Drosophila melanogaster: one gene and its partners. The protein of the gene in region 3 interacts with the protein of the main gene of each other region in a pairwise test. Each region holds a gene or a part of one and is shown on either strand. Other genes may lie near its edges.

The links.
Region 1: the proteins of CG3598 (region 3) and nmd interact in a two-hybrid assay, tested with the Drosophila melanogaster proteins (one large-scale study listed by BioGRID).
Region 2: the proteins of CG3598 (region 3) and CG31523 interact in a two-hybrid assay, tested with the Drosophila melanogaster proteins (one large-scale study listed by BioGRID).
Region 4: the proteins of CG3598 (region 3) and Targ interact in a two-hybrid assay, tested with the Drosophila melanogaster proteins (one large-scale study listed by BioGRID).

Annotation. Positions count from the first base shown.
Region 1 is NT_033779.5:10,299,921-10,307,728, reverse strand, and holds nmd (no mitochondrial derivative), read left to right. Parts: upstream 1-3,781; 5' UTR 3,782-3,892; coding exon 3,893-4,074; intron 4,075-4,130; coding exon 4,131-5,058; 3' UTR 5,059-5,556; downstream 5,557-7,808. Other genes in the region: CG4968 (uncharacterized protein), read right to left, coding at 1-171, 236-535, 610-684; CG5390 (uncharacterized protein), read left to right, coding at 2,224-2,580, 2,647-2,902, 2,960-3,567; CG13138 (uncharacterized protein), read left to right, coding at 5,774-5,785, 5,870-7,507.
Region 2 is NT_033777.3:4,473,724-4,482,337, forward strand, and holds the start of CG31523 (uncharacterized protein), read right to left. Parts: upstream 5,485-8,614; 5' UTR 5,339-5,484; exon of another isoform or gene 4,910-5,338; intron 1,704-4,909; exon of another isoform or gene 1,529-1,703; intron 1-1,528. Other genes in the region: sac (sterile affecting ciliogenesis), read left to right, coding at 7,096-8,614.
Region 3 is NC_004354.4:2,933,255-2,940,357, reverse strand, and holds CG3598 (uncharacterized protein), read right to left. Parts: upstream 3,332-7,103; 5' UTR 3,231-3,331; coding exon 2,412-3,230; 3' UTR 2,285-2,411; downstream 1-2,284. Other genes in the region: CG14420 (uncharacterized protein), read right to left, coding at 1-703, 806-875; CG3592 (uncharacterized protein), read right to left, coding at 4,439-5,188.
Region 4 is NT_033778.4:14,665,256-14,674,904, reverse strand, and holds Targ (tarag), read right to left. Parts: upstream 6,515-9,649; 5' UTR 6,490-6,514; coding exon 6,467-6,489; intron 6,458-6,466; exon of another isoform or gene 6,407-6,457; coding exon 5,805-6,406; intron 5,638-5,804; coding exon 5,387-5,637; coding exon of another isoform or gene 5,383-5,386; intron 5,319-5,382; coding exon 4,982-5,318; intron 4,932-4,981; coding exon 4,315-4,931; intron 4,254-4,314; coding exon 3,761-4,253; intron 3,697-3,760; coding exon 3,440-3,696; 3' UTR 3,230-3,439; downstream 1-3,229. Other genes in the region: CG30479 (uncharacterized protein), read left to right, coding at 1-200; mspo (M-spondin), read left to right, coding at 1,829-2,251, 2,520-2,538; CG12860 (uncharacterized protein), read left to right, coding at 8,214-9,164.

The DNA of each region.
Region 1 (7,808 bases), on a different chromosome or scaffold from region 3:
ATTTTGGTAAAAATCGGCCTCCTCCTGCAGTTTTCCCGAGGTGATCAAACGTAGGTAAACCACCACGTAGTCTGAGTAACCCTGCTCATTGAAGATCTTGTGCAACTCATCTTGGACCGTGCTGTGTCCTCCTGCATTGTCGGGGCTAACGCGCTGGATGACTTCCATGAACTGGACATACAAAAGGCTGCATAAGCATAGGGAATTCGTTTTGCATTTGTACGGCTAAACATACCGTTTCGTGAAAGTCCTCCAATGTAAAACTAGGAAATCCCAGCTGAACGAGCTTCTCCTTGGACTCCTCGGCCAGTTTTTTGAACTCCTGGTAGGCACTGGTGTTTGAGATCAAGTACTCCAAGTAGGAGTAGGCGAAGGCTCGGAAGAAACAATTGCCATCGGGGCGGGTGCGGCGAATGAACTTGTACTTTTTGGACAGATCCTGGATCTTGGCGGTGAAGATCTCGTCGCCACTGTATTCCGCATACAAGCAGGTGAGTGGCAACTGCTCGCTGACCAAGGGAGTTGTGTCGCTGATCTGCAATTATTGAAATTCGGCATTATTTCTCGGTTCATTGTCGCTATTGTGTGTAAGTGTTTCTGCAGACTCACCTCTTTTTCAATATCCCGTTTCTGCTGAATTATTAGTTCGTCGCGATTGCCATCATTATGGGTAAACGGCTCCATGTTTCTCTGAATACTGAACAACTGCGATCGGCGCTTCCTTTCAATTTACTTTACTTTGTATTCATTTGATGAACTAAAAAGAATTCCTGTTCATCATATGTATGTGTAGGCGCATCAAATGTCACACACACAGGTCTAGAGGCGAAACTCACGGACACACTGATGCTTTCGATTTTGTCGCACAGCTATCGTTATCGGGCTTCAATTCCAGTTGTTCCTTGGCTCGAGAATAAAAATAAATAAATATTTGAAATCGCATTTTACAAACACGCTAAACCATTAAAACGGTTTTTAATAACAAATATACGTACATAATTTGTGTATGTTTATTATCTATAAATTTATAAAATAAAATAAAACTTTGAACTGGTTTTCCGCTGTGTAATACGTAAGCTGGGAACTTCAATTGGAACCAGCTTTCAAAGCTTCTCGTCAGAAGATCATCGGCTGAGACTTAAGATTGAATAAGAAATCAATTCAGTTGAGTGTTTTCTTCATTGCTCAGCGAACGTTGCGCTACTTTGATAAATTAAGTAAGTCTTACTAATAGAGTACACTTTATACTAAATAAAATTGGACTCAAATTCAATTTATTGAAAATGTGTAGTTCAGTTATGTGGATATCTGATAGAGTTTAATCTTTTTGGTGGTTTCTATGTCTTGTAACATCTACAATACATTTTTCATCCATATATGTATGTACATGTGTATATACATATTTTAATCAATCAAAAAGATCTTAAAGTTCAATGAATAAAGTGTACAAAATATCACCGCCTCACGTACTTTTATGAGCACAAATCAGCGGCAATGGGAATACATTTATATATGTTAATGAAGAAGAATTGTATAATGCTAAGTTTACTCGAAACTAAAACCAGTTTTTGCCCTATTTTATTTGCAAGGAACATATTGTTAGCAAAAATGGTGAACCTTTGTGTGTAAATGGCAATTAATTAGTGTGTTATAACTTATTATTAACTCTTGCGAAAAATGGAGGGATTGCGCTTACACATAAGAAACTATTTTTGTGTTTTAAAGTAATTATACATGCTTTGTTTTTATTGACAGCGAAAATTGACCCACCGCAATACATTAGCATTTCTTATCGCCAAAAGTCATATTTAAACAAAAAAGCAATCAGGATTGATAATGAGGCGATCTAAAAGAAACAATACGTACATATGTATATATTTGCTCGGAATTTTAGTATTCAAAAAAGAAAGCAAAGCCTCACTGATAAGACAATACATTCTAGAGTTAATTAGGTTAATTGTTCGCCGCATAAACATAAACGTATTCGTATCCGCGTCTCCCTTCCATTAAAATGTGTCACTCTGTTTTGGGGGAATCACATTCACCTTTTATCCGGTTTAAGTGCGATATTCCAGCAATAACAATCATTATTATATTACCAATACTCGAGCTTTACTCACTTTGCTTACCTTCATCTTCATCTCTTTCCTCGAATAAGTGAGCTTTCTGACCTTAATTATGTAAATATGTAAAGAGCATGATTTAATTTTGCTTTCCAGGAATATGATATTACTAAATTGCCTAGTAATATGCCTGTGCATATTTTCCTGTGGTGCCCAGGACTCTTCCTTGGACAAATTGATATCGGACATCTTTAAAACGGACGAAACACCCAAACCATCATCCCCTCCCCCGCCAGTGGTGAACCCCAAGGATTCGTCCGGTAGCACGGGATCCGAAAACGGAGGATCGAGTTCAACGCAGTACCAGTCCTGTGGCGATCAAAAGGAGTGTGTTCCTCGCTGGTTGTGCGCCAATGATACGATTAACACCAGTGGCGATGGTATCATTGACATTCGACTTGGTACGGACGCCGAATGCAAGAACTATTTGGATCTTTGCTGTGATCTGCCCAACAAGGTAACACATACATAAATACCAATAAGCTTTGATTACTTAAATTAAACTATAATTTTATTTGTTAAGAGAAAAGATCCGATTTTCGAGTTTAAGCCTGATCATCCCGAGGGCTGCGGTTACCAAAATCCCAACGGCGTTGGCTTTAAGATCACTGGAGCTGTCAACCAGGAGGCCGAATTCGGCGAATTCCCCTGGATGCTGGCCATTCTCCGGGAAGAAGGCAACCTTAACCTGTACGAATGTGGAGGAGCATTGATAGCTCCCAATGTGGTTCTGACCGCGGCGCATTGCGTTCACAACAAACAGCCCAGTAGCATTGTTGGTAAGTGTACATGCCATCTATGCCATCTATGAGATCTAATTATGAACTGGCATTTAGTGAGAGCTGGCGAATGGGATACGCAAACGCAGACTGAGATCAGAAGGCACGAAGACCGATATGTCAAGGAAATAATCTACCATGAGCAGTTCAACAAGGGATCGCTCTATAACGATGTGGCTGTCATGCTGTTGGAAAGTCCATTCACCCTCCAGGAGAACATTCAGACCGTTTGCCTGCCCAATGTGGGTGATAAATTCGATTTCGATCGCTGCTATGCCACCGGCTGGGGCAAGAACAAGTTCGGCAAGGATGGGGAATATCAGGTTATCCTGAAGAAGGTCGACATGCCCGTGGTGCCCGAGCAGCAGTGCGAGACGAATCTGCGCGAAACTCGACTCGGCAGGCATTTCATTCTGCACGACAGCTTCATTTGCGCCGGCGGTGAGAAGGACAAGGACACCTGCAAGGGTGATGGTGGCTCCCCACTGGTGTGTCCAATTGCTGGCCAGAAGAACCGCTTCAAGTCCGCCGGCATTGTTGCCTGGGGCATCGGATGCGGCGAGGTGAACATTCCCGGAGTGTACGCCAGCGTGGCCAAGCTTCGTCCGTGGATCGACGCCAAGTTGAAGATTTGGAGTATTGACCCCAGGCACTATACACCCTAAGAGCAAAATTGTCACTTGAATTTGTGGGTTTTAATCTTCATGCTTCACAATGCTCTCACTTAATATATGCCCAATATGTTAATACTCAAAATTAAAAAAAAAAAAAATCTTTTTATTTTAAGCTGAAAAAATATTTTCGGAACAGTGGAAAAGGAATAGGCTAACAAAAATTGAATTCAGTTGGCAGCAATTTTGAGCTTATCGATGTCAATTTCAGTCGGAGCACCTGGTCACACTGTCGTCGGTGTGCATGGGGAATAAGAACAAGAAAGATTAGATTCGTGCAGGCCAACGTATTTGCTCTAAATAGAATATCTGCAGAAACATGGACAACTTCGGACTGGGCGGATCGGATCTAAGCAAGGGGCAGATATTCCAGGTACTGGTTCGCCTGTCTGTGGCCTCGCTGATCACATATTATTCGGTGAAATGGATGATGAACCAGATGGATCCGACCAGTAAAAACAAGAAAAAGGCCAAAGTTCTGGCTGAGGAGCAGCTTAAGAGGTTTATATTAGACTCATATAGCATATATTGTACATGTGTAAACCTTTTCCATGCAGGCTAGCCGAGCAGGAGGGCTTCAAGCTAAGAGGGCAAGAGTTTAGCGACTACGAGCTTATGATTGCGTCACATCTTGTTGTTCCCGCCGACATAACAGTCAGTTGGGCCGATATCGCCGGTCTGGATTCAGTCATTCAGGAGCTCCGGGAATCGGTGGTGCTGCCAATCCAGCACAAGGATCTCTTCAAGCATTCGAAGCTGTGGCAGGCGCCCAAAGGCGTCCTGCTCCATGGACCACCGGGCTGTGGAAAGACGCTGATAGCGAAGGCGACGGCAAAAGAGGCGGGAATGCGCTTTATCAACTTGGACGTCGCCATTCTTACCGACAAGTGGTACGGGGAATCCCAGAAATTGACTTCTGCTGTCTTCTCGCTTGCATCGCGAATCGAGCCATGCATTATTTTTATTGACGAAATAGACTCATTTTTGCGATCTCGAAACATGAACGACCACGAGGCTACCGCCATGATGAAGACCCAGTTTATGATGCTGTGGGATGGCCTCAGCACGAACGCCAACTCGACGGTGATTGTGATGGGTGCCACGAACAGGCCGCAGGATTTAGACAAGGCCATTGTGCGCCGCATGCCAGCCCAATTCCACATTGGTCTGCCCTCGGAGACCCAACGAAAAGACATCCTGAAGCTGATCCTCCAATCGGAGGAAGTAAGTCAGGATGTCGACTTGAATCGCTTGTCCAAGCTCACAAATGGCTTCTCGGGCTCAGACCTGCGGGAAATGTGCCGGAATGCTTCAGTTTACCGAATGAGGCAGCTCATCACGTCCAGAGATCCGTCAGCTACAGCGCTTGATCGCAACAACGTCCGCATCACCATGGACGATTTGCTGGGCTCGCACTTAAAAATTAAGGAATCAAAGATGCACACGAGCAGCCTATTCTTAGAGAATAGAATCGAATTAGATTAAGCTGACCATTGTTTATTCAAGCTCCCGATATATCCAACTTAAATTTGTATAATAAACTTTTTATTTGCCTTTCGAGAGGAGCTCCAATGTTATGTGTTAATTAACCCTGTTCTCTGCATTCCAAAATGGGTATCCGGAAAACGTAGTTTTGGTAGTCTTGAAAACAGCAACGGATACTGCAGGAAATTACACAATCCATAGCATTTCCGTAAAGCGGAGCTCAATGCACTTTAATTATTACATTTACGGGCTTCTGTGAAATATTCACCTAGAGAAATTTCAAACATTTATAAAGATATTGCACTTGTACACTTCTTCAAACACACACACAACTTGCGTCACGCGACCGTGGGCTTTCAATCGTAAAAAAAAATATAAGTAAACTTGTGCAGTTTTATTCTCTTTTAAAAAGGTCGTTTATTTCTGACGGCATTTCAAAGCTACACATTTGTATATCTAATTAAAAATGAATAAAAACATGCATACATTTTAAATAATCAAACCAAAACAAATTAGTTCTTGATGTTTTTGTATAATTTCTTAATTTAAGAAAAATATAGAGTGTACAAACTTCAAGCGAAGAAATTTGCTTCTGCACATTTTAATTATGTTTCGTGCTCATATAAATACTTTCTTCGATTGGCTCAAATCATTTCTGTTGAAGGCGTTGATTAAACCACTTCAAATCCAAGCGAGACTATATACTTAACAAAAAATGAACCCAATGGTAAGCTATATTTCCAATTTGTCTTTTTGATAGGAGATATTTTGTATGTACATACTTCATTTACGCGCATCCTTTCTATTTCAGTTAACTTTGATTCCTGGATACCTATTCATAACCTTAATAATTATTGGAAGTACTGCACACAGTAATTCCTATGCTGTGAATAAAACCAATAGTGTCGAAAGTGCCGAGTGGAGCTATCCTGAATACGGAAAAGGATCTACTCACAATACCGGAAGAAGATCGGAAAAGCTGGATCTGCAACATTATAATCGGGAAACCGAACGCAATGTGACTTTGAAACGCGGTGTGAAAAACTATCAAAAGCAAGGCGATAAAATGACGAGGAATAAACTGAAATATAAGCCATCTGGTGCTCGAAGAAAAAATGTGAGTCCCAATTATGCGGATGAGAGTACGGAAAGTAGGCATTATCATACATTCGAAGAGATCCACGAGCATATCGATGAGGACGATGGTCAATACCAGGCATCCGAACAGGTCGGAACACAAGCGATTCTGCACGAACATGTCGAGCACTCGAGTAAGAAGGATGCGAAGCGGATGAAGGTGAAAATCAAGCATCATCATCACCACCATCATCACAACCACATAAAGGAGCTGATCAAAACAGTACCACAACCGTATCCCGTGGAAAAGGTCGTCCATGTGCCCATTGAGAAAATTGTCGAGAAGATCGTACATGTGCCCAAGCTGGTGAATGTTACAGTTGAGAAAATAGTGCACGTGCCTATCGAAAAGATAGTGGAAAAGGTGATTCACATCCCAAAGCCAGTCCAAGTGCCCAAACCATATGTGGTCGAAAAGATAATTGAGAAAATAGTCCACGTACCGAAACCGTATCCAGTGCTCCGGACTGTTCCGTATCCGGTCGAAATAAAGGTGCCAGTTCATCTCGAGAAGAAGGTACCAGTGCCCTATAAGGTTGAGGTAGAACGAAAGGTTCCCGTTTACATTCGTTCCAGCGAGCCATATAAGTTCGAGTCATCATCACTCTACGAAAGTTATCCACGCGGCGAGGAGTTCAAATTTAACATGGAAATGGATCATCCACCGCCCAGAGAACACGAACCATCCAGCCTACCATCCTCAAACTACTACAACAGGATATACAAATCTAGGGAATTGGATCATCCTCCGAGGATGGAGGACTATCAAAGCTCCGTGCCCACACAGTTAAAGCACGATTACGCAACGAAAACTAATCTCGATCAGCAGTTTAAAAACGAGTACGTGACGAAAAGTAGTATTGATCCTCAATTTAAGCACGATTACGTGACGAAAAGTAGTATTGATCCTCAATTTAAGCACGATTACGTGACGAAAAGTAGTATTGATCCTCAATTTAAGCACGATTACGTAACAAAAAGTAGTTTTGATTCGCAGTATAACCAGGAATACGTACCCAAAACTAGCATTGAATCGACTTCTCCTGGACGGGATGGGGTTTCCCTGAAACTCGTCGGTCCCCCTACTCCTTTCAATATCACGGGAAAGGATTTGGAGACCGCCAACTCTGCTCCAGACTTTGTCAATAGCTCCAACGTAGACCTAAGTCCACAGGAATCGGCTAATGCCTATCGCGGTATGCCATTCTCCATACCATTTCAGTTTGTACAACTCCAACCAATGGCCTTTCAAAGTCCTATACATGTGGAACTGCCAATCCAATCCGCTTCAGCAGAAGGTGCTCAAAAGTGATAATCTAATCAAATGTTTAGCGTAAATAATCCTATTCAGAGAATTATTATATACCTGACAGACTTTTAAAAGACTTTTTCCCCACAATAAAAAAAATGCTAAAAAATAAGTTGCTTAATATAAAATATAATGCATATTAGAATATATAAAATTGTTTATTTTGTTGTTGTTAAAAGTTTATGATAAAATTCATAAGCAATAAAACATACTAAGCCTAACAAGCAACGACAAACAAATCGCAATATACTGTTACATATTCTATATAATAAAACCGTTTTTAAACCGTTATTACTTTGTTTTT
Region 2 (8,614 bases), on a different chromosome or scaffold from region 3:
AAAGAGCGGACCGAAAAGCAAACGTATTACCTACTAATCGGGTCAAAGTCAGATACTGGTATCGAGGGTTTTGAAGATTACTTGTATTTGTTACAGCAATCAACGTTCAAAAACAACGCAAATTAACCCGCTTACAAAACGGAAATAGCAACACGTAATCCGAAATGGAATTCATGGTCAAGTTGCGTAGTACCGAAGACCCATATCGTGGATAGATCGGCAGACGAAGTGCATCTCCACAGGTCCACAGGAAATTACAAATTAATTATTCAACGACTGTGGTACCTTTGACTTAATAGTAAGTGAATTATGATTGTATATCGCCACTTAAAACGGTATATTTTGGATATCTAAAATCACAAAGTACACAAGATGCTAAACGCACCAACAATTCGGACTACCAGAAGAAAAAAATAAAATTTTGTTGACTCTTTCACCATAATTTTGATGAAAGAACGGTGAATGTTTAAAGACAAATTTAATTAATTTGAACTGATTAATAAGCTGGGGAGGGCAATACTTCCCACAATAATATTTGGAAAGTTGTACTACATTTTTTTTACTACATTTTTGCCTCTCCGAAACAAAACGTATTTTTATGTGCTGAGCAAGCAGTTTCATGTAGAAACTTTAGTCATTCCACTTAGTAAAAATTAAAAATTTCAAAGGAACTAGATAGATAAATATCCTTCACATATAGCATTTCGAAATTCTATTTTTTCAATAGTTTTGGTCAAAAGATTTTTAATCAACAATACATTTTTTATACTTCTTTAAGACACGCATTGACTCGTTGCAAATTTTTCTACTGTAGCGCATATGGTTTCAAAATTGAAGTGTACTGATGCTCTACAAAAGGTATTGTATTTTTTAAAAATAATTAAATATATAAAATATATACAAATAAAATAACTGCTGACGTTCACACGCTGAACATAAAATCTGATTCTTCTGTGAAGATTTTACCAGTCGACATTATTTAATTAAACAAATAATCTTTAGAAAGGGTAAATTTTGTATAATATACTTTCATTGTCAAATGAAAAATCTTTTTTTTTTGACAATTACTTTCTGCGTAACATTCGTTTAGCAATTTTTCGTAGGTTAAGGGTGGACTATATTTGTATTTATATATTTAGAACGTCGAAGGGATTTCTTCGGTATGCCAAAAACTTTTCAAAACTGAATCATCAAGAATTTTGTGAATGTATTTGAAATCGTTTTATATTATCATTTGTCTTGCTTATTTCTATCTGATAGGCGATTAGCTCCCTTATTATTTTTTTCTGTTCTCGTTAAATTTACCAGCTATATATAAAACCTAATCAAAAATATGGGGTTAAAGGGAGAAATGAAGAAAATCGTAACTATAAGTTAGCTGCCTTATAAGCGGTTGGCTGGAGCCAGAAACAGTGCTATCGGCATTAATTAATTGGGGGTTAAAGTCCTTCCATATTGTGATATTGTGCGGAGATAGATTGCGATATCTGTTTCGTTTTGCGAATTTTATAAGTATTTTCTTAGATACCTTAGATACCTGGGTTTTGTTGTTTTGTTTTCTGTTTGTTTTGTATATCGTAATATTGTATTTGCGAAGGTGTTATTATCTTCCGTCCTCGTTGTTAAAAAATAAATATTAATTTATTTAAATGACGAAATTTCGAAAATCGCGGCGATGCTTTTTGAATTGTGTGAGTGCTCGTCTTGAAAATATCGAGTCAGGCCACACAAGACACTTGGGATTCCGATCTCCTCGCAAGCAAATAAAGGCGGCGGCCCTCGATCACTGGCTTGGATCGCCAGAAGCGTGGTCGGATATATTGAAACGAAAGCGCAAGTGAATCGCGCGGACCGCTCCCACCTGACGACCTCAGGTCGGCTGGCCGATTAATGTGTGTGCACTTGTAATTTGTTTGGCTGCTCGGGAAGGTCAGACCCCACGGAAAACCGACCGAGCTGCTGAAACACACGATGAAAGTTTCCATCGCAGGGCCGCACTGCATTAATGGCATTTAAATACATCGATGTGTAATTATGCACATGCATAGTTCCCAAAGCATAGGTTACGGGTGTCAGGAATGGAGGTTTTGTTTATTGTTTTATTGCGACTCTGCCTCGGGCATTCTAAATTGAGGAGAAGCCGCTGAGATCGAGGGGTCGACTTACATAACACTGGCGTGGTAAGTTTTCCAAAAATACGTAAAACCCGACAAAAACAATGAAAGAAAAAACAAAAAACAAAAAACGCACAAAGAAAGGCTGGGGAAAATGAGAGAGAGACAACAGCAAGCGACAGAGAAAAACTGTCCGAATCTTTGGGTAAATGAAATTAATGTGCGAAATGTATACGAGTAGGTCCCGTCAATGTCGAAAAAAGAAACGGGAAAGAAAGCCGGCTTCGACTAGCCGAAGTTTGTGTACCCTTGCAGACGGTCAATGGGTATCTATCGGTAATATTGTAATATTAATGATGTTATTTGCTGGAAAGGTGAGTACATGGTACTTATAGCTTTTTACTTCTTTTTAAATAACATATATAGTTACATTTACCAAAAGATATCAAAGTGCTCTTTTATTTCGAAAATTCGTATGCATTGCATCTCTTCTACAATATTTTGTTTAACCATGCAGGATAAAGGCGATTTACCATTTTGAGGTAAATTCTTAGAGCACCATTACTCGTAAAGTATAGCCTAGTAGATTCGTTGGGAAGTATGTATGTAACACTTCTATCGATATGCCAAAATAATATTAAAGATTCTCGCTTAAACATCTACTAGCTGACTAACAGGCAAGGAACTCGACCATACAGTTCTCATTTGGTATTTAAATATAATTCATAAGATATCATTATTAGGCAAAGGCTGTATAAACTAATAACTGTAAAAATAATACTTTTAAAATTAAATACTGGCTGCATTGCCAGACATCACAGTCGCTAGTCAACTTTTCCCTTTGGAATTATAATCCTTATATTGGCGTATTATGATCATTATATATTTCAAGATATAGGTTATATCGACCGCTATATCAAATCTTTTGTTACTTAAGGGCTCTGGAGCCTAAGTATGCCAAAAGCATTTAATAAACTTTTATCATAGACTTGCCTCCTAACCGAACGATAGCTGGATTCGCATTACCATCATGAATTGGATCTGTCCATCTCACCGCCGATAACGGCACATTTGTCTTTATAGCACCGCAACAGGTGGTGAGGCTAGTTCTCTTGACTCTGACGATGCTGTCACTGTCCATCGAATGATTATGCCCACGATGTGTTAACCCCGAATGGTACGAAGATCGTGGCCAAGCATCTCAGTCTCAGACGAGAGTCTCAGGGGCCAGAGAACCCGTACGATGTCATTGTTCTTTTCTTTCTCCATAGGACAAACCGGTTAAAAAACTTTCCTCATAATAGCAGAGCCCAAAAGTGCTTATTAAGCATGCGCTGCCAAAACACATATTAGCGAGCACCTATGTACATATAAACCAGAGGACTAATACATGCGATCTCTATAACCAAGATCTCATGGACTTTGGCCGAATTTTTATGTTGGCCCGAATAATTTCAGATTGCTTGTGGGTGTGACTGATACAGCCAGCCGATTGTATAGCTCCTCTCTTCTGAGAAAATCGAAGCCCGGCAATGAGACACAATCTTGAGATTTGCCGTGTAAACGCGAATGAATATTTGGATTTGATGTGTTTTCTGAGCAATCTAAGCAGATAATGTGTTTACTGAGTCTAAGCCAGTCGCGCCAGCCAAATAACTATACGCGAGGGCCAAGGTGCAAAGCGATCAATTAGCACTTTAGCACTGCATTGTTGCAATCTATTTGCGAAAGCCCTTGACTCTACGTAGCTCCAGGTTCGCTTTTCTGACCACCGGCCAGCGGTAATTGATGCCGCACCACATTCTCCAGGTGATACATACATATGCATACATACATACATACATACACACATACACACATACATAAATTTCTGATCGAAGTATTTAGCGCACTCGTTGGCTGACCCTAAAAACCTGAAAAAATGCGAATGCAACTACATTTCTCGACGTTTCCGCATTCGGCGGACAGGTGAAACTTTTTGATTGACTGACATAGGCGGCACACCACTGCACTCCTTACCCAACAAAGGTACACAGTAGACAATGAAGACAGCGAAATGCGTTCGGCTATTTAATACTATTTAAAGTCAGTTCTCAGGATAAGGAATTAGCTGCTATACCTAAGCTGCTGCTAAAATACTTCTCATACGGAAGAAGTTGTACCACTAAAAAGAAGAAATATTCTATGTATTCGAAGTAGCATAGAAGTACCTACTGCTAATACCCGCATTCCTCAAATAATGAATTTTTTTATCTCGATTGGGAAACAATGGTCAACAATATAATTTCCATTGTTATCAACAAAATTTACTTAATATAAAATTGTATTGAATAAGTGATTCATGAATTACAGTTGTAGACCGAAAGGGTCAATTGTTTTTTACACTTCATAGAACCAGATTAATCCAATAAACAATATTTAATTCATTAAAGTACGAATAGGTTACCAGAGAATCTATGAAAACAAGTCTGGGCAATCCTTTGGAATAATAATTCATCCCTCTCACGAAGGGCACCCACGCCCCTGTGCGCTCTCTCTTAGCCACCGACACGTGTGAGCTCTTTTGCTCTTTTAGTTGGCTGTTGCTTCACGGCGACTCTCTTCGGCATCGCCTACTGACGCTGCCGCTGCGAATGGGCGTGGCGGGAAGCAGAGCAAGAAACAGTGGACTACCGCCACTTTTTTAATTAAACCATGAACAAACAGGCAATGGCGGTGATGACTAATATCACCGAATCGCAAGGCGAGGGTGGGGAGCAGCTGGAAAATGCTTTCGCGGCTGTGGCGATACTCACCTGCGAGGTATGGTGTGGAAGGGGGGGGGGGGGGTCGAGCGGCGATTGGAATGGAAGAGGAATCCCGAGTGCACACACACAAATGCACTTGTGCACGGCCACAAATACACACTCGCGAAGGAGAACGAACGCAAGTGTAAAGGGCCCGCGCTTTTGGGAATTGAACAATCGACTAGTTTCAGCTTGGGCTGGCTGCCGATGCTTTTGATACTGAAACTTCGATACCGCGGGCTGCGATGCCGATGGCTATGGCGATGGCTACAAACAACAGCAACGCCAACAAAAGACACACACAAACACCGCGTTGGATCTCACCGCACATAAAATATATCCGACAACATATCGTAACGGACTTCACCATGCAGAAAATGCGATCTAGCCCAATAAAACTATATGCGCTTCCAAAAAAATATATTAATATCGAATTACTTCTTAGTCAACTAGCCATATCTTTCGGATTTCTTGGGAAACGACGACGCGAGTGAAATCGTTCAGCAACAAAGAGAGCGCGTTTTGCCAGTCGCTTAAATATATTTTTGTACAAAACGGTCTCGCAACTTCGAACATGTTAGATTGGGTTGGCAGCAACTAAGCAGAATGTTGGCACGAGTGTTGCCGTTTTAGCATTTTTAAAGCTCGACTTAGGTTATTTGAAGCCCGCAAGGACTGTGATAGGGATTACAGATTAAATAATATTGTGCGTAAAATCTTTGTGATTTGATAACCTGCATAGAAGGTACCAAGGAAACAGAAAAATAATATGGATCGTCGCGACTATACCCGTATACCCTCAGCCAAATGAAATGCAAAAGCATAAATTGACTGCGAGGGGAATACTTTTCACAGGCCGTTAATATTCTTTGAACTTGTAGTTAACTTTAAATAAAGGTTTCTGTGGCAGGATTGTAATTTTTGGCATGTTTAATTCTACACTAAATTAACTATTTGATTTATTTGATTTCTTTACCAAATAATTTGAGCTAGACATAATCTAGTTCTGGCTGTTCCGTTTCTAGATAATCTAGATCTGGCTATGGAAAATCTAAAAAGGCTGAACTGAGACGAGGCAAAATGATCTTTGTGGATTCCGTTCCGGAAAGAGTGACCGAATTTCGAGAATTCGGTACTTATCGATATTATCGGAACCCATTATTTAGCATTGTCATCATAAAAACGATATTTAGAGAATGTAGAATGTTAAATGTTTTTTAATATTTCTTGTAATCAAAACAAGATCGAGTTCCCCTACTTTAAAAGTCCTGTTACTCAAGTCGTATACTAAGTGCGAATGAGAAATTCCAACATTCTTTTAGCAGATCGAAGGAAATTTAAAAAACAAAATAAACTATTTAAAAAATTTTTCAAAAGCGTGGGAGTTTTGGGCGGTTTGTTGGTGTTATAAGGGACGAAAAACAGACAAAAGTCAGAGGGTTCCTCGACTTTGCGAGCGAGATGTTGCAAAATGGTATATCTATAGAAATTCGCATTACTGCGAGCGAGATGTTGCAAAATGGTATATCTATAGAAATTCGCATTACAATCAAATTACTTTGTAATTGTGACAGTGAAAGTCTCGTGAAGTCTTGCGTGTTAGCGTCGTAGTTTGGGGCGGCTTGTTGGCCTGTTCAAGAATATTATATTTTATAGAGTCGGAAATGCTTCTTTTTACCTTTATCGAATTTAGTAAAACCTTTTACGGCAAAAAAAATAATTCTCATAAAAGTGCGCTAAATAATAAAAAATGAATAAACAACAACGGAAGCTTGAAATTGAAATTAAAGATTGTTCAAAATTAAAAAAATGTAGTAAAAAATGTATACCAAATTAAACGACCAAATTTTACATTCGATTGTTCATATGGCTATTTCGACTCGGTTGTTCATACTGATCAAGAAAGTATAAAGTGAGCTTTATATGGTCGCAAATGCCTCATTCACTGCGATGCAAACACCTTACTGAAGTCAATGTATCCTTTTGGAAATAAAATAGTTTACATATAATTTAATAAAAATATTAAATATTGCTGAGACCGCCATATTCACATTAATTTTATAAAATCGAATTTTTTGGTTTAATTTGACTAAACAGCAGTAATTAATGCTCGGGCTTTGTAACAATCAACAAATACACTGCTTTGAAAGGAACGCCACTTTCTCATTTAAATCCACTTTAACAATATATTTCATATGGATCCGGAGAACTTAGAGGTGGGACAAAATTATGAAGGTTCCCAGGAATTCGATGAGAGCAGCACCAGCTCAATTAGCAACAAGGGCCCGGATGACAGTCAATTCAAGCGTGAGGCTGAGAAAGCTATTTGCATCATGCCGCCCCGACCGGGAACGACTATGATGAACTATCAGGAGCTATATATTCCGCGGAATCAGCTTACTGATGTATATTACCCCATTCAGGAGGCCCAACGATGGCTCACTCTGATGGACAAGATGGGCAAGGCACACCGTTTTCCGCTGCCCACGATCCTGCCGAAAGTGATCCAGACCCGCTACGTGCCAAAGCGGCATCTTCCAAAGGACGTCGAAGTGGATCGGAGGCGTCGTCAGTACCAGAAGATTAACTTGGTGAATGAGCTGGCCAAGGCGGGCCTCACTGACGACGTGCTGCAGCCCACCGAGGAGCAGTATAATGTAATGTCCGAGTTCGCCTTCCCACACAAGTTTCCCCTGAGCTACTTCGACGACAGCAACTTTGACATCAACTCTCCGGCGGCCTGGTTTGAGCTGGGAGTTGTCGGAGATGCGCACTACCCGCTTCCGGCGAAGGCGTACCTGCCTTACAACCAAAGCCTGCTGAACTGCCAGTGGGGCATGGCAGCTGTTACCGCGCACCACGAGGACTCCGACCTCTGGACGCTTCTATCGCTGGAGGACGGATGCACCTACACGGTACCCAAGCTTCAGTTCATGTTCATGGCTGAGGACCCGCACAAGTACATCAAGCGGCTGCAGGCCGCTGTTCACGAGCGGCACAAGGGGGAGCAGCTTATGTTGATGGAGCTGATCGTGGATTGTGTCCTGCACGAGGACATTGAGTCCACCGTGTTTTATAGCTTTAAGCCCATCGAATCGGTCCTGCAGGCGGCTAAGGTGTCTGAGCAGTGCAAAAGACGACTACGCTCCGAGGTGAACTTGGTGTTCGAGCGCCTAATGGCCCTATACGAGCTGGAGCAGTTTATCCTTAAGATGCCCAAGGAATTTCCCCAGTTTCGGAACATCAACCTCAAGGAATTTCTGCCCCGGTCTTTCGCCGTGGACGTCTCCGGGAAGGAGCGTCTTGAACTGCAGGCCCTTGGCATAACCATGCAGGAGAAGCGGTACGACTACCTGAAGGCCAGTCTGTTTTATTGCGTCGGTGGCATCGAGGCCATGGCCGGAGTGGCCATCGAGTGCCAGTACATCGAAACACTTTCGATCTTCATCTGCAGCTTTAGCAAGCCCCTGGCGCTAGTGGACTTCCTGCAAGCGCAGGAGGCGCATAGCGACAACGTGGCCACGTTTCTTAAAGTCTATTGGCCGCAACAGCTGACAACGGTCATCACCGTGGTCCTCCGAGCCCTGGGAAAGGGCTGGCTGGACATCTCCCTCAACACCTGGACGGTCTATCTCATGTGCAAGATCTCGCGGTTTATACTGCAGGTCAAGTTCCGTATGCAAGAGTCAATGGAGGTGCTGCTCGAGACGTCGC
Region 3 (7,103 bases):
TTCATGTTGTTCCTCCTCTGGCGCTGGCGCTGGGCCTTGGAACGGTTCCTGTTGCGGCGCTGGCGCTGTGAGACGCGCTTACGGCTCTGTTGGCGCTGGCGGCGCAAGCGTTGCTGGCTTCGCTTCTCGGCGGCCCTCTGGCGGCGAAGCAGGGACCTGATCCGCTGGTTGTGCTCACGCTGGAGGCGCTGGATTCGGCGACGGTTGCGCTGTTCCTGCTGGAACTGGCGCCACTGGAGTTCCGAGGGGCGGACCAACGAGCCGGACTCTGAGGACTGCTGCACGGCATTGCTATTGCCACCGGCGGAAGGAGCGGCCACAAAGTAGCTCTCCTCATCGTCGTCATCATCTTCGTCCTCCAGGCTGTCATCACCTTCGTCTTCTTCATCTTCAAACGCCCTGGGCATCTCCTCATCATCTTCCTCAACATCGTCTTGAATTGCGGGGAAGGCACGACCGGTGGTGGTGTCGGAGGTTGTGGGCGTCGTGGTGCTCGTCGAGGTGCCAGTGGACGTTGTTGGTGCAGTCGGCGTGGTCGTCTCCGTAGTGGAGGTGGGCGTGGTGGTGGTAGTGGGGGCAACCGTGGTCGTCGTGGTGGTGCCCTTCAGAGATGTCAGCTTGTTGGCAATCGACGAGGTGAAGCGGGCCTCCATCTGAGCGTCGGAGGCGCGTCCACCCAGGCGGTACACATTGCGGCGTTCGGCTGAGATAAAATATTTTAAAATTATACGAAATATTTAAGGAACATATAAAGAAAGTAGTTGTGACTTGACTGACGACTTTCTGTTAATATTTGAGGACTCACCCAAGGTAGTGGATGGGGCTAAGAGGGCGCAAAGGGCCACAGCCAGACTCAGTTGAAGCAGGCAATGCATTCTGCAGATGGATTCTCCTTATCGGGATAATCGGCTTCCTTGACTGTGGATCGAGGGTTCCTAACTCACTTGTTGTCTTTGAGTTTTCACTCACAACTGACTGACAACTGATGGACTGACCCGGGATTTTATACCCACTTGGAGCTCATACAGCTGATCGATGGCTATCATCCGCCCCGCATCCCCATTTCCTTTCAGTTCCCACTTCTTGGCCAGCTCTATTAGCAAAAGTTCGCCCGGGGTCAAAGTGAACCGGGTCGCGGGTCAGAGGCGTACGAATTTTATGCTAATTTCCCATCTCTTTTGCCAAAACCATTCTTCTATCCATCGCCGAGTAGCCGATGATTGATTGACGTCAAGCCGAGATTGACCCACGGAATCTGGCTTACACAGATGTTCTGGGATGTCAGTTCTCTGCTTGCTTCAGCTCACTCAGTGCTCGGCATTTCCACACCAAAGAATGGAGTACTCAACTGAAGTCTCCAAATTCGTTTCGAAAAAATCAAAACTTAATGAAATCTCAAAATTTATAATTTACAAAGGGTTCGCGATTTATTGCATAGTTCGGAGGCAAATCTTTTCTTGACAACGATTCCAAAATATGTGCTTATCTATTTTTGTATGTTTGCTCTCCCAAAAACAATGACAAAATATAATCAGAATGCGACATCAAATTATTTCAATAAATATATATTTTAATTTTCCATATAACATTTGTATTGTACATACTGTTATTGTGTAATTATTTCGTGACTTTTTAAAACTTTCATTTGATTAATATATATATTTGGATAAGACCAAAAGTATCTTTGGTTCCAATATACGACAATCAAATGAATTTTATCTCTAAACGGTTATTTTTCGGTAGTACCTATTTTGTTGGCCAAACGATTAGCAAAAATAGTTTACTACGAAACTTTTACAGTTCTATAGAGATGTTCTCAAATGAGTTTCTCTACCATTGTTTGTATATATGTGTGTACCATCTGATTTTCGGATCCTTTATCATACAAAATTTGCAGTTATTAATTCATATATCATACTTTTGATAGCCTATGGGCATTAAGTGACTTATAACTAAGGTTGTGTCGAAGTTAAAGGATAAACTGGAATAAAGCTGAACCATGATACAAATAAACTCCATGATAAATGCAAATTTTTCTATCAATGGAGCTAAGCAGTGATCTATTTTGAGGCAAAGCAATCTTATGTATCTTATACACTGCTAGGAAATGGTACACCATATATGATAAATAAATAATAAAGTTATACAAGTAGTATACGATGTTTTACGGCAAAACCTTTAAAATAAGTTTCAACTTAATGATTCAAAACCATAGTCTTTGCATGTTGGTTAATTTCACATCATAATTTCACCACCCATAAAAAATACGAAAAAAAATATTTATAATTTTCATATCACATTTTATTTGTCGCATCGTCATCAAGTGTCTCAAATTTCTTGTCCTGATCGTTAGGGGATCTTAACTATAATACTATATAGAAATGGGGCTAGGACGACCTTCGTTTCGTGTCTCAACCCTGGAATACGACCTGTCCGCGGCGCCTCTGGTTGCCACGCCTACGGTTGCCGCCTTGGGGGCGAATGACGCGTACATTGCGCCTGCGGTTGCCACCCACTCGGCGACGCCTTTGGGCGGGGCGGCGGCGTCGGATATTGTTGTTGTTGATGCCGCGGCGGCGAATGTTCCTGCGTCCGTTGTTCTTGCGGCGACGAACTACCACGCGGTTGGCGCGCTCTTCCTCGATTTCATCAACGGATGAGGCGGATCGCTCCATAAGAGCCACCACCGCGCCATCGGGAATGGCGTCTAGGGCGGCACGAGGCACTAGGAGAGCCGCCTTGCCGGTCTTCTCGTCCAGAACACTCTGACCCTCGATCTCGATAATGCCATCGGGCACCATAATGGCACCAGCCTGATCCCGGTTAACCATCATCTGCTTCTTGGGCAGCTCATCCTGAACGTGATCCTGCTCCTGATCCTGATCATCGTCCTGTTCGTCATCAGCGTGGTTCTGCCTGTAAGCCAGACCGCTGCGGGCAAAGTTCAGGCCCAGCTGATGCTCCAGTTCCTCGTCATCCTCCGTCTCGTCATCGTGCTGGTCCTCATCATGTAGATCATCATCTTCCTCCTCGACAATTTCGAAGCCCTGGACGACGGCGCCGGCGTTGGCCCGACCCTTGGGAATTGACAGGAAGAGGTAGGGATGCTGCTGCGCCCTTTGACCCTGCACCTGATTGCGCCCCTGAACGTGCTGAAGGCGTGGCTCGGCCAAGGCCACGGCCACAAACAGGCACAAGCCCACCAACAAGATAGCACCCAGCTTGGACATCTTGTTTTTTTTTTTTTTTTTTGAAGATTTCTCGACGTAAAGTGCACAGAAATTAAAGATTTACTGCCGACCGGATCCTAATTGTAAGCAAGGCCCAAACAGAACTGTACGATCTGTGGCGGCGGCATTAGGTTTTTATGCGAAAAAGTTCTGGCCAAAAATCCAGAATCCATAATCTAGAACCCATAGAAACCGAGAAGAGAGAGCCCACTCAGGCCACAAGAACATTGGTCATAATTGCGGTCGATGTCGGCATAATTTCAAGTGGCGAAATTTTGTGGAAGAAATGTAGAAAATGGTGAAAAATAGAATTAGAAACGAATGTCAGTGACCCGCCGGTGGGACAAAAGAAAGAGCGCTGAATAAATCAGCAGCCGCCGAATCAAAAAGTCGAAGATCACCAAAAACACCAAAGGCCCAAAAAAAAAAAAAAGCGCCGCGGTCATGCTAATGACAAAACAATCAGAGACACGCACAAATCTCGGCATCCCAAGAGACCGAGAAACCCGAGAAGTCAAGGGCCGATCCGAACCTATGATGGACCTGCTCTCGGAGTCAGCGACGCATGCGAAGTGGTCGTATCCCATCCCCGGCCACCGGTCATATACCCAATGACCAATGTGAATATCGATGAAAGGGGTGTATGGTATAGGGGGCAAATGTGTATTCCAGCATCGCTGATTGATCGAGCCACGTTGGGATGGAATTATGCCTTTGTCCCGTGATTAATATGCCAGCCAAGAGGCTTCTTATGCGTGGAAATGGCCAATTGTACAGGTGAAAGACTGAAGGTTGGCCAATATTTCACATGCGAGCCCTCTGTAATTTTACTGTTTTCTTTAGTCGTGCAATAAATCTACAATTTTTGACACGGAATTTATTATTTCTTAATTAAACAATGTTGAAACTTGTTTAAAATCTTAGGCATACTGCAATATGACCAAATAGCAAGCATAGATATTAAAGTGTTTTTGTTTTCCAAGGGATTTCTCAGTTGAAAGTCAGAAAGTATGCTAATGTTTCTTTCGAAATTGATTAACAAACTTCACTTGATCTTCCAAATATTTGCTGTCATGCTGAATAGAATTCCTATAAATGTAATTTTTGTGTGATTTACTTTTTTATATGGTAGGGCTTAGAAAATATAAACATTTTGCAATTGCCTTCAGCACTTCAATTTAATTATTCACAATGCTTGGTCATAAAATTTAATTGTGAAGGTGATCAATTTTCAATCCGATGGCTTTGAACCAGCTGTTGGGTAGCAAATGGACAATGTCTCTACAGAGGCAGAGGAACTCGTAGCTAACCACTGAAATGGTGGCGGCCAGCGTGGAGATCCTGAGCCTTTTAATTTTCCAACTACTCCACTCCCGTCGTGCGAATCCCAAATTGAGGGCGAACCACTGACTGCACGAGAGGAGCACAAAGCCACACAAGCCCATCAATCGGTGGATGACGTGCAGAGCCAGGTGGGTGAAGCACACCAGGGCGAAACCACTGGCCACGGCCCCAGCGATAAGCAGGAATCCCAAAAGGCCACACAATCCATGTTTGGAATTAAAGTGCGGCTCATGTATCTTGCTCTTGAAGATACTCTTCGCGAATATCCCCACCAGTCCCAGCCAAAGTCCCACCATTCCCAATACCATGTGCAGAAGGTTGAGCCGGTTTTCGGAGATGAAGTCTCCTAACCACCAGGAGTGGCATACCAACAGAGATTCACCCACGCATAGAAACAGTCCCAAAATGGCGTATAGGGCATGCTGGCCGCTGCTGTGGTCATCCAAACCCGAGGTCTTTTTGACCATCACCACGGTTATTACGATCAGCAGGATGTGGGCCAAAAGCTCCAGAATGATCCTGTAGAGGTTCACCTCGAAAACGGCTACCAAAAGTGGCCATGCGAACTCATAGAAAACCAATTTTGCAGTGGTTGCGTTCTCCCCTTGACTCATTTCCAGATTTGAGTTTTTTTTTTTTTACCTCACAGCTTTTAGATATAAAAGTGATATTGCAGTCATGGCCATTCTGACTAATTTAAACTAATTATTATTTGCAAATAGTTTGGATAATAATATGAGTGTTCAAATGCAATATTTGCCTCGGTCCTTTAACCATTTTTTATAGCTGCCCACTGGAAACTGGAATATATTTACCAAAGTCAATTCTATATTCTTAAATTTCTATTCATTTCGCTTTTTATTAATTTTCAACAGGTTGAAATTCATCGGCAAAAATTTAAAAAGATCAAAGAAGTATTTTTAGAAAATAGAATAGTTTATTCCCTCCAGCAATTTAGGAACTGTGCCTTTAATATATACCGATATTATCTCATTTCATAAATATTCATAGTGAAATATAATTTCCAAAATGTTAGATCATTTTGTAATGCCTAAAAAAGACTTTTAACTTTCCAAGTTCGAAGAGTACAGAGTTTAGTAACTGTTTTTTTTTTTTTAATCTAGATCTGGAAATTGGTTTCAAAGTTTGTGGGAACGCATAAATTAATTTTTGTTTTTGTGGTCTTCAATTTTTAACTCTTACTAACTGTTGGGCCAAATTGGGTCATCCAAAAATTAGCATATATGTATGTTGTATATAAATTCGCTAAACGGTCTTAAATATATTTCATAAATCCGCTAATTTGAAATCGATTTTCTCCCCCCAAAAAAATGAAATCCACAAGCACTTGGGTCAATTTTATGCAAACTTATTTTATTCAAGACATTCAAGAAGTCACAGTAAAATCCGCTTGGCAACAGGCTGCGGAAACTGCTGCGAAAAATTTCTAAAATAAAAGAAACGCAAACTTAATTTCCATAAGAATGTGCCGCAGGAGAAGTTCAACGGGGTCAGGCCTCAAAGATTCATATTCAAACGAGGCAACGGCACAAAGAAAGCTGCTGTCCAGTTTTGGTTTTTCAGTTTTTGTCCAACTCCGGCAGCTGGCTAATAAATTGGCCTAAGTCCGAATTATGGGCTGGGCCCAATTGAGTTGAAAGTTCATTGCCCGTTCTTTGGCTCTTCTCAGGCTTTAATTATATGGCCAAAACCGATTCGGCAGGTGCTGACCTTTGCCTGGGGCGGGGGGGAATTTATGACCAAATATCTGCACACACGCCTAAATTGAAGAATACAAATCCAAAATACGAATCTTTCTTCGGGCTTTTCTGCCTGGCAGCATCCAGCTTCTTTAGCCAGCTTTTTGGCCACTTGCCTGAGCGTTAACCCCGGCCTATTGTCGTTGGAAACAATTAACGATCGCCTGCCTGAATAATGCTGGAATAATGTTGTCAACTGGCCAGCTGAAGTGCTCGCATGTTGGCCTAATAGTGTCCGCTCTTTTTTTTCGGGATGATTATGCAAATTTCCGCCTTGTGGCTTGGGGGCCAAAATCGAGCCAAATGTGTTGGCAGCTTCTCATCTCATCCATCTGGTATGGATCGTTGGTTCCAGCTCCGCTTGACTCGTTAAACGTTGCCCGGGGTCTTCAAGCTGGAAAATAATTTGTGTGTATATTTTATTTACCTTAACCAAAAGTCGAATGTGCTGGCGAGAGAAACTCGAGTGTTTAATTGTCATTGTTTTAAGCAAAACTTATATGATTTTATCGACTTTTAGAGTTTTAAATTAGCAATAATTGTAATGCCACAACTAATTTTGTGTAAACTACGTATTCAAATGGTCTAAAGTTAAACTTTTCGAACACATCATCTAGCTGTATTGTTTCTTCTGCTTTTAATGCTTTCTTTCGTCTTATTTGTGCAGTAATATTGGGCTTAAAGCTCGTAAAAACCTTCAAATGCGTCTGAGCCTGTCATTATCCCTACTTAAGCTTAGCGATGAGAATCTTTTCAGATTTAACTGATT
Region 4 (9,649 bases), on a different chromosome or scaffold from region 3:
TAGGCGTGGGCATCGGCTTTGCTCCGCCACCCGTGGTGGTTGCACCACCGCCACCAACTGTGATCGTCGGAGCACCACCACCACCGCCCATGGTCGTGATGCCGCCGCCACGGCCCACCGTTGTGGTGGGTGGCCAGGCTCCGGTGGCCAGTGTGTATGCCCAGCCGCAAGGAGAGGTTTTCTGCTGCACTATTCTCTGACGAAAAATAGGAAATGAAAAACTGTGCTTCTGTATAGAATTATTCACTACGTGTACATATATGCCTTAAATAAGTAAAATAAAATAGTTAACTCATAGTAAAGTCCACAGTCCATGTTCAATTCAAGTTCAAAATGGCTTAAAAGACATTTTAATGCAATCAAAAATCATTGTCCAGTGTGTTGTTTTAATTTTTGAAGTGTGAACCAATGAAAGTATTAATAAAATGAATGCAAACCATAATTGTATGTTATATAATTAAATACACATATAATAAACTGCTACCCTCACGATTTTCCCATTGCATTTGACCGATGCAAATATTCAATAATCACATTGAAAGCATGACAAATTTCAAACAATTGTCAGTTTAAGTATACAATTTGAGCAAACCAATTATAATATTAATATCAATTTACCGTCGCTTTCCGATTGGGAAAACTAATTCACTTCGGGCCAGAGAGCAATTTCCTCGTCACATGTGTCCAAAGGCTGAGTCACAGTCAGTTTATCGAGCACAGGAAATGCAAATTGCGCCTCAAACAACATTTACTTAATACATTTTGATGTGCTCATCTAACGGTAATTGCCGTGAACATGATCGAAGCAAATTGTCGCTAATAACTTCCATGTTCCATGTTCCAGGCAGGCAGGGCGTTTGCAAAAGGAAAAGGGAATTTGAGTATGGAAAATGCTGTATGTAATTTCAATTTGAGAATTTTCCTCATTATTTTCGTTGGGCCCATGGCGCTTGGCGTCCTTCTCTGGGTATTTCAATATTTTTGCCAATTTATTTGCGCTCCTCCCTCCAATCGTCCCGTTGCTCATCAGAGTTGAGTTTCTGTGCCTGTTCGTCTGCCTTTTGATTTTTTATTATTATTTGCGCGATTTTGCACGCGGCGTGTGTATGCAAATAAACGAAAAACTGCAGGAAACAAAACACGGAAGTTGCCCAGGAAGGAAGGCAGGAAGGAAGGAAGCCAGGCAGCGCCACAGCCAAACGTAGTCTGCAAAATGGGAACTTCGGGGGATTGTGGTTCGCGCGTGGGTCCTCCTCCAGAAGAAAAAAAAAAAGAAACATAAAAAATACCCTCCTGGGTTCCATGGCATAGGGGTCTCCGATTTCGCATTCCGGCCTTTTTGGGCTCTTTGGGCTCACTGTCTGTCAGCCAGCAACACGGCACGAAGGCTGGCTGGCAAAAGGCAAATTTAAATTGAAATTTTCCACAGTTGATGTTCTGAAATAACAAACGTGAGCAGCCAGCGAGCACACCTTTGAAAATGGAAGAGGCGGAGGCACACGGGTCGTATGTGTAATGTGGCAGTCTTTTAGCGTCAGCAAGTTAAGCTACTCTGGTAGAGCAAATCATGAAGGTGGAATATATATATAGCAGATCTAAACCCTTCAAAGAAATTGCTGTGTGAGGCTAAGCAATTTGGAGATTACAAAAATATAATGTTAATTATAAACAAAATTTAGGATTAAGTGCCTAATGGTATCAATTCATTTGCTCGAGCCAACTATAGTATAATAAGTATAATTTGCAGAATTTAAAAACAGGCTGTCTTATTATTTCAAATTGTTTCGTGCAAGACCTAACAAGACCTTTTCACATTATTCACTTGCAGCTATGGCAGCAACAACAGCCTGCAGCCGGCACCTGGTCAGGTGGTCAGTGTGGTGCCGAAGAACGACAAGCATGCGATCCTGCAGAGCATCGCCAGCAGCTATCGGCGTGCCGCAGATGCCAGCGATGCAAACGCCTCCAAACCGACACCATCCGCGATTGGTGGTGGCAAGGCCGGTGGTGCGGTGGGCGGTGGTGCTGCCACCCGCAGGCGGAGCTCCGCGCAGCGTCGTCGTGATTGCCGCGTGAGCCACTGGTCCGAGTGGACGGCCTGCAGCAAAAGTTGCGGCGTCGGCGAGATGCATCGCTACCGCAAGGTCATAAAGCACGGCAAGAGGGGCGGACGACAGTGCCCGGCGCTCCAGCAGTCCAAGTGGTGCGGCACCGAGCGCAACTGTCACGGGTCGCAGACCTATTTTAATTGGTAAGTGTGCCGCGCCGCGGAAAACTCAATCAAATTAGTGTTACACTGCAAACAATTTCAATTCATTAATATTAATTAAATTGGAATTTAATTCAATTTCGCATTTCACATCAAATTTATATACACAATCGAAAAGGGGAAGTCCTTTGTTTTTATATAGATAACACAAAAAATCCATAATAGATTGATATTTTTATATTTTTTTGTTCTTTGACTCACCCCACAAGTATATACAATTAAAATATATATATGTCCGATTCGATTTCAGGTCCGATTCCGACACATGAACGATCCACTTGGCGGAGGCACAGGCGATATAAATATAATTTTAATTTAAGGCGTAAGAATTGCTTTTTCTGTGTGAACAAGAAAGACCAGCCAGGCCGTTAGGAGTGTGGTTCATCCCGCAAGGAGATTTTAATTTAACTTTACATTATCAAATGACATTGTTTTTAACGCAGACGGCAGAGACTTCAATTAAAAATGGATTAAATTAGAGGCGACGATGGGGAAGACTACTGACAATATTAAAAAACACAAGAAAGATTTAGACACAGGACACAGAGGATTGGAGTCATTCGTCCTGCGGATGTCGATTCAAACATTCTTATGTTTATGTGTTCACATTGATTTATATTTTTTTTTTCGTTGCTTTAGCTCTAAATAATATGTAAAAAAATCATCATAAAATATAAAAAATGAAGAAAAAAAAAACAAAACATTGAACAGTAGACGTACAAAGTTTAGAAAGCAAATCAAAGTAAACAAGAAGCGTGAAAATTTGCATACCCAAACAAGGAAAAATGGAAACAAAACCAAATGAAAAACCAAACACAGCACACTTGAACCTATAAGCGTGGAGCCAAAGTGTGTTGTTCAGCAACTAAGCTAATATTAGATGTAAACTAAGCTAACTAATAACTTAAAATGGATTGCAATAAAAGTCAACCCCAAAAAGAACTCACTTGAATTGAAATTATATTGAAAATAAATCTGTAATAAGGAGGAAGTAATAGTTAATGACATCGGTCAATTAACAATTACATGGATATACAAACATTTACTCAGAATTTGGAACGAGGACCAGTAAAAAAAAGTCATAAAAATGCCTAAGCTATTAGTTGTAAGACAATCCCAAGTTCCAAGCAGGAGAACCAATAAATATTGCAATTCCAATAGTCCAATTCCTCATTGGGCCATCCTGTTGCGACATTTAATAAGCAAGGGCAGCAGAAGCTTCAGAAATCCGGACACTATGAGACATAATCCCGCAAAGCAAAAGGCAGCAGAATAGTTTCCCGTGATGCCTATCAATTTACCAGCAATTGTAGTCCCAATAAAGGCGCCCATTCCCATGGCCAATGAGGTAATCCCAAAAGCGTTGGTCAGTTTTGAAAGTCCCAGGTATTTCACGTATATCAAACCTCTCAGTGTGGAATAAACAGCTATTCCATGGAAATGAGAGAGGGTAATATTGTAAACTTAAGTAAGGTAAGTAAATGTACGCACCAGGCGCTACAGCATAGGAGAAGCCATACAGAAACTGGAACCAAATCAAGTTCTCTCCATAGAAGGCGCTAATCAAAACGGAAACACCACCGAAAATTAGACCACAACCACAAAGTCCGAGGGTCCAACTACGCCTTTTGTAAGCGAGGATGCCAAGGATGTTTCTCATCACAAGATTACTAATTCCGATAATGGGGCCGATCATACGGGCATATTCGACGGGGATCGTGGTTCGTGCAGACGAGTAAACAAAGGGTATATTAAAGCCCATCGGGAACAGAAAGGCGGACGCCACCAGAATCTTGAACTCAAACTGTTTCAGCAGGCGGTAGTCGAATAGTTTGAGCACAGTGAGCATAAACCGGCTATTCCTACAGGAATTTTGCTTTTTCTGATTCTCGTTTGACCATCTTCGTTCCCTATGAACTCTAGAAATCCTATCGGGTTCATCATCCACACGAATGTTCTTGATGCCATAGTTCACTTGCTGGGTCTAAGTGAAAGTTGGTGGTGTTCTTAAGTTGAAGCGAATTTATTCTTAATACAACACTTACGTTCTTATCCGATCCCATTAGTAGGAACTCCTTGCCGTCGACGTTCTCCTTGCTGTGCGGCTTTTCGTATTCGGCAGGACCCGTATAGAAGAGATCCTCCCGCTCCAGGGGCGCCGGGCGGATGAGCAGATTCTGCTCATCAGCATTTTGCGACTTCTTCCGCCGCCTCCAACAACAGTTCGAACAGGAGGGGCAGAACTTGGCGCATCCTTTCTTTTTTGGGCGTGGCTCATATGTACTTAGGATACTCCGGCTTTTAGCAGTCATCGCGGATTGACGTAAATAGTCATGCACGTAGAAGTTGCCGTAATACTCATCCGAACTGGTATCCGAAGAACCGGGTAAATGGTACATGCCCACCTGGGTGGGAGCCACCTCCACATAGGCGACCACCATCAACAGGATCAACATTATCAGCCCCGCCTGCGTCCGCAGCATGTTCCTCCATCCGATGATTGGCACCAGCCAGCTGTTGAGGAACGTGAAGAGTACTATGCCCGCACCGCCACCGCTGCAGGAAAATCCATTGGCCATCGGACGGTACCGCTCAAAGTAGTAGCCAACAATCAGCTGCGAACTTGCCCAGATCATGCTCAACGTAATACCACCTGCGCAGGCTAGTACTATTATTCATCGAATATCGTACAGCAATCTAGAATCAACCTACCAAGGACGCTGTAAAAGAAGATCAGCATGGTCAAGCTGACGCTCCAACTGGACGCCAGTATTGAAACTGCGGAACACAGGACCCCAGCGATGGCTACCTTTCGGAAACCAAAACGATTTATCAGGACAGCAGAAAACGCTCCGCTAGTGAAGTAGCAACCAATCTGGACACTGGCCACAAACGATACCGACGATATGGAGACATCCAGATCCTGGGCAATGGATGGCAATAAGACCCCAATGGTAAAAATTAAACCATCGATTATCAGCTGGGCGAGGAAGGACAGCACCATGATTACCCAACCGAATCCGCCGTCCGGTGGTATCACCATATAGATCTGTGGATGACAAGAGTCGTCATTCGTTTCTCAATTCACCACCACAAGAATGCTATTCACTCACTTACAAAAACCATACCGGAGCCAAGTCGTCTTCCACCACGGCTAAAGTCAAAGGACTCCTTCGAATTTTTACTTTCCATGTCGAACGATTGCTTGCGCGTTCGATTTCCGTCGTATTCGCTGAAAGATTCCGGCGATGCGGTATCGGCCAACTGTACTGTAGTTACATTGAACGAGAGACCCGATTCCTGTTGATCGGTTTCCTTAGGGACCACATATGAATCCTCGGAATCGTATTTGGGAATCAAGGGGGATCCTGTAAGAAGGCTACAGTTTTAGCTACAAGAAATGCATTTGGTAGGTTCCTCAATTTCAAGCAAATGGCCAAAAATAGCTTAGACAAAATTCAATTGCATGACAATAAAATAAAAATAAAAAAAAAAACATTTTTGTAAAAAGGAAGGCAGCGCTATGATAACTTACTCTTTTTATAAAACTTTTGCGTTTTGGTAATGAGTGGTTCTGCCCTATCATATTCATCCGTATAGCTAGTAAAGCTCAACATCTGAGACACCTCATCTGTGCTCTCGATATATTCATTCTCATTATCCCTGTGTGTGGACAATTCCTTGCTAAATCCACGGGTCCTAGAGTATTTTTTCTCAAAGGCCGGTTCCACAAACGGCACCTCAGATATTGGCTCAATTGGCCTAGATGGTGGAATTGCTGGCTGGTTTTTCGAAATCTCAGGCTCATTTGATGCCCCCACAAGCATATGGGGAAATCTTCTGATAGGCAGCTTGGGAAGAAAAGTTGGATTAAAGCTTTCGTAGAACGAAGGCAAATCCACTTCACTCCCGTGAGACTGACTAAGGGACAAGAATGATGTGCGCCCATTCAGGATATCCGTTGAAACTGTGCCGACGGCCACACTGACCATTTGTGGTCGCGTGTTTCGCGTATCATTGTAATAGATGGATGAGTTTTGAACCGAGATGTCCAGCCTGGACAGAGATTGGGATCTCAAGCTACTTCCACTTGGCTGTGCAGCGGCGGTCTTATCTTCATATTGGCTGCTGGGGAAGCTGAAAAACAGAGGGATTTGGTCGAGTTGAGTGCTTTGCTGGGCGAACAGACTCAGTCACCTTCGCCTACGATTCCTGCTCATTTTTCGACTCTGTCGCAGAGTGTTCCTGACATCTTTCACAAATCTCTCTGCGTCTCGACCCGAACCCAATGCACAGTGGCTGGCTACGTGTCTGGCTGCAAGATGAGAAGCCCCAGCAACAGGAACGGGAATTCATGGGGATTCGTGGGATTCGGGAACTGTCGCCAGACATTAGCTGCTCCTGGCTACCAAATGCTGTCATGGCTGCCAGGCGAGCGTGACAAACGGAGTTGGTTGGTAGTTGCTTGTTGGTGACCCCCAGTTGCTCCTCCTCCGCAATTGCCCCACTGCAACTGTTACTTTTTAGCCATCGCCTCGCCATCGCCATCTTCTTTTGCCTGGCGAATCCCTATTGCCACAACCCGATCCCAGCTCCGTTCCACCCGCTTGCCTGTTTATTTTGGGGCCGAAACAAAATTGCATCAGTGCAATTTCATTGATTGTAAGTAAATGAAATCATTCCTTAGTCGTCTGAGTTTTGCACGGAGAGCGGAGCGATTGGAGTGGAGCGGCTAAAGTGCATCTCAGCTTTAGGGGCAGTAACTTCATTGGCAGTCACTCAAAGGCAACAAGAGCTGAAGTATTGGGGTCGACTGTTTCCCCAGTTGATTAAATGGAAAGTGATGCCCGGGCTCTTGAATTGGAGGCAGTCGGTCCATGCTTTATGAAACAAACCTCGCCCCTGGAAACTTTAACTAAGCCAGCCCTGCTTTTGCAAAATGAATTACAAACAAAGTGCACTAATTAATTAGCGTAAAGGCCAGCAAACTTTTCGACCAGCCACTTCAGCTTCATCTACACCTTCCCCCCCCCCTGGATTTTTCCTGTTCTCCCGCGGGGGAGCACCGATTGCAGCGGCTATTTTTCCTGGCCAACAACTCTATGCGGAAATTGTTTTTTTCCAAAAGGTTCGCTCGTACGTGCTCGTTTTTTATGGCCCACGTTGTGTTTTCCTATTTTTCGATTTTTTTTCCCCTGAGCGCCTTGAAATCGAAACGGCCAAAAGATTGCGCTGCCAAATTGTTAACAGCAATTGACCCAATTTTATGGGAGCCCTCATGCATGGCCACTCTCGGACGGCAGTGACTCCAATGAAAATAGCGGCGTAAAAGCGAAAACTGCCCCGAGAACAGCAAGCAGCGAGCGGCGACCAACGCGGCGTATACTTATTCTAGTGGACTTCTGTTGTTTTTTTTTTCGCAGGGGGTCAGCTTTGTATGTATATTTTTCGTTCTGTTTTATTTTTTTTTTTTTTTGTTGGGCTTTGTCGTTTGGCTGGCTGCACTCTGTTTGCATTTAACTTGCAAACAAGCTGGGGCAAAAATTCGTAAAGTGAAGGTTGCGTTGCCTATTTTTTCTTTATTGTTATTTGCCTGCAAATCAAGGCAGCTGGACATTGCAAATTCGCTGGCATCGAATCCATTCGCAATTAACTGCAGAACAAACAAGGAAAACCCATTTGGTCCGTGGCCCGGAAAAGGCTCAATTCGCGACAGTATTCGAGGAATTACACACTTAAATCTGGAATCCATAGAGAAGTAGCTGTTGAAATGTAAATAAAATAGATCCCATCATGGCGGCCTTGGACTAGATTTCTTGCCAACTATTGGTTCAGCACCTTGGTGTTAGCCAGATCAAAGCAGAGCGTTCGCCTGTACAGACCAAAATTTCGTGTCTCTCAACCTGCCACAGCACCGGTTCCAATCCAAAACCTCCGTTTAGTTATGTTTCTGGCCAAAAGTTCATCAATACTTCGCCCGCAGCTTCTTAATGAGGTGAAGGGACTAGTGAAGTCACAATTTCTGGCTCTGTCACAGGTCGACCGACGCTTTGCCCACTCGGACGATAGGTGCGCCAATAAGAAATCCAGGAAGTGCGAGCAGAGCCCACCCAAGGGTGTAGGTTTGCCCCCCCGGGATCGAAGACATTCTCATACGGATGGCGTCAGTGATAAGTGCGCGAAGAACAAAAAAGATAAGCGGGAGTGCAAGAAGTTTGAGTCCGAGAATGCCAAAAAGCCGGAATGCAAACCGCCCGTTGTCCGTGCTCCAAAATACTACAAGCAGCTAAAACCGTGCAAGACCGACAAGGAGCTCTCCGAGCTGCATCCCAAGTATCTGGGTGTATGGGGTCGTTGCGACATACCCTACAAGCCAGAGCCCGATTGCACCGATCCCTGTGATTTGGCCGTACGTTTGGATGACAAGTACTACAAGCCCAGCAAATCGCTGGACCGCGAATTCGACCAGTACTGGGTGGAGTGCTTCTTCCGGAAGCAGAAACGCTGCTGCCGCAAGGTTGCTCCTGAGCGCACTTACCGCGTGTTAACCAAAAAGTGCGTTTCCGCTCCGAAGAAGGCGCCTTGCTTCACCGTCAATCCCATGCCATGCAAACAAGAGGCCAAAACCAGCCCCTGTCCCAAGATCAAGCTATGCGAGTGTCCGCCGGCAGCTGCCATTAACAATTGTAAACTGGTGCGAAGACACACAAGATGCCGGCGTCGCGCATGCCAGTATCCCAGCTTCTCGGAGTGCCAGCACGAGGAGCTGAACACCAGCAGACCCATCGAGTGCCGCTGCCTGGAGGTGCCGCCGCTTTGCCTTGTCTATCGACACGCTCTCCTCAACCGCCGACTTCCCTGTGAGCCTCTGAAGCCGCGCAATGAATCGTGTTAAAGGAGGCACACTTTGGATTTGTGGACCCATTCATGGTGCTTCAACAATAGGCAGATAAAAATTAACAGTGTAATAAAAGATACGAAATTTTTGGTTAAATAAATCTTTCAAAATATTTACATTTAATGCATTTAGTCTATGGGGGGGTTTTGGTCTCTGTTGTATACGCCGTTAGGTGGGACTATCAAATAGAGGTGCTTTACTTAGATCGAGTCTTCTCCTATTGGCAGTGCCAGTAACAGGTATCTGATAGTTGAGGCACTCGACACATATTTTATTTTTAATTATTTACATATGCTTAGATCTAATCATAAATTTTGAATCAAGTAGGCCTTAAGACAAAACTTCAACTGTCCTAGCCAATTTCAGATTACTTTCGAATCATTCGTAAACAGTTGTTCGAGTGGTCAACACACATAACACCTTAGCCTCCCCAAAAATCCAGGTTTCCGTTTTGGTTTCCTTTCAAAATTCCAGTTAAATTC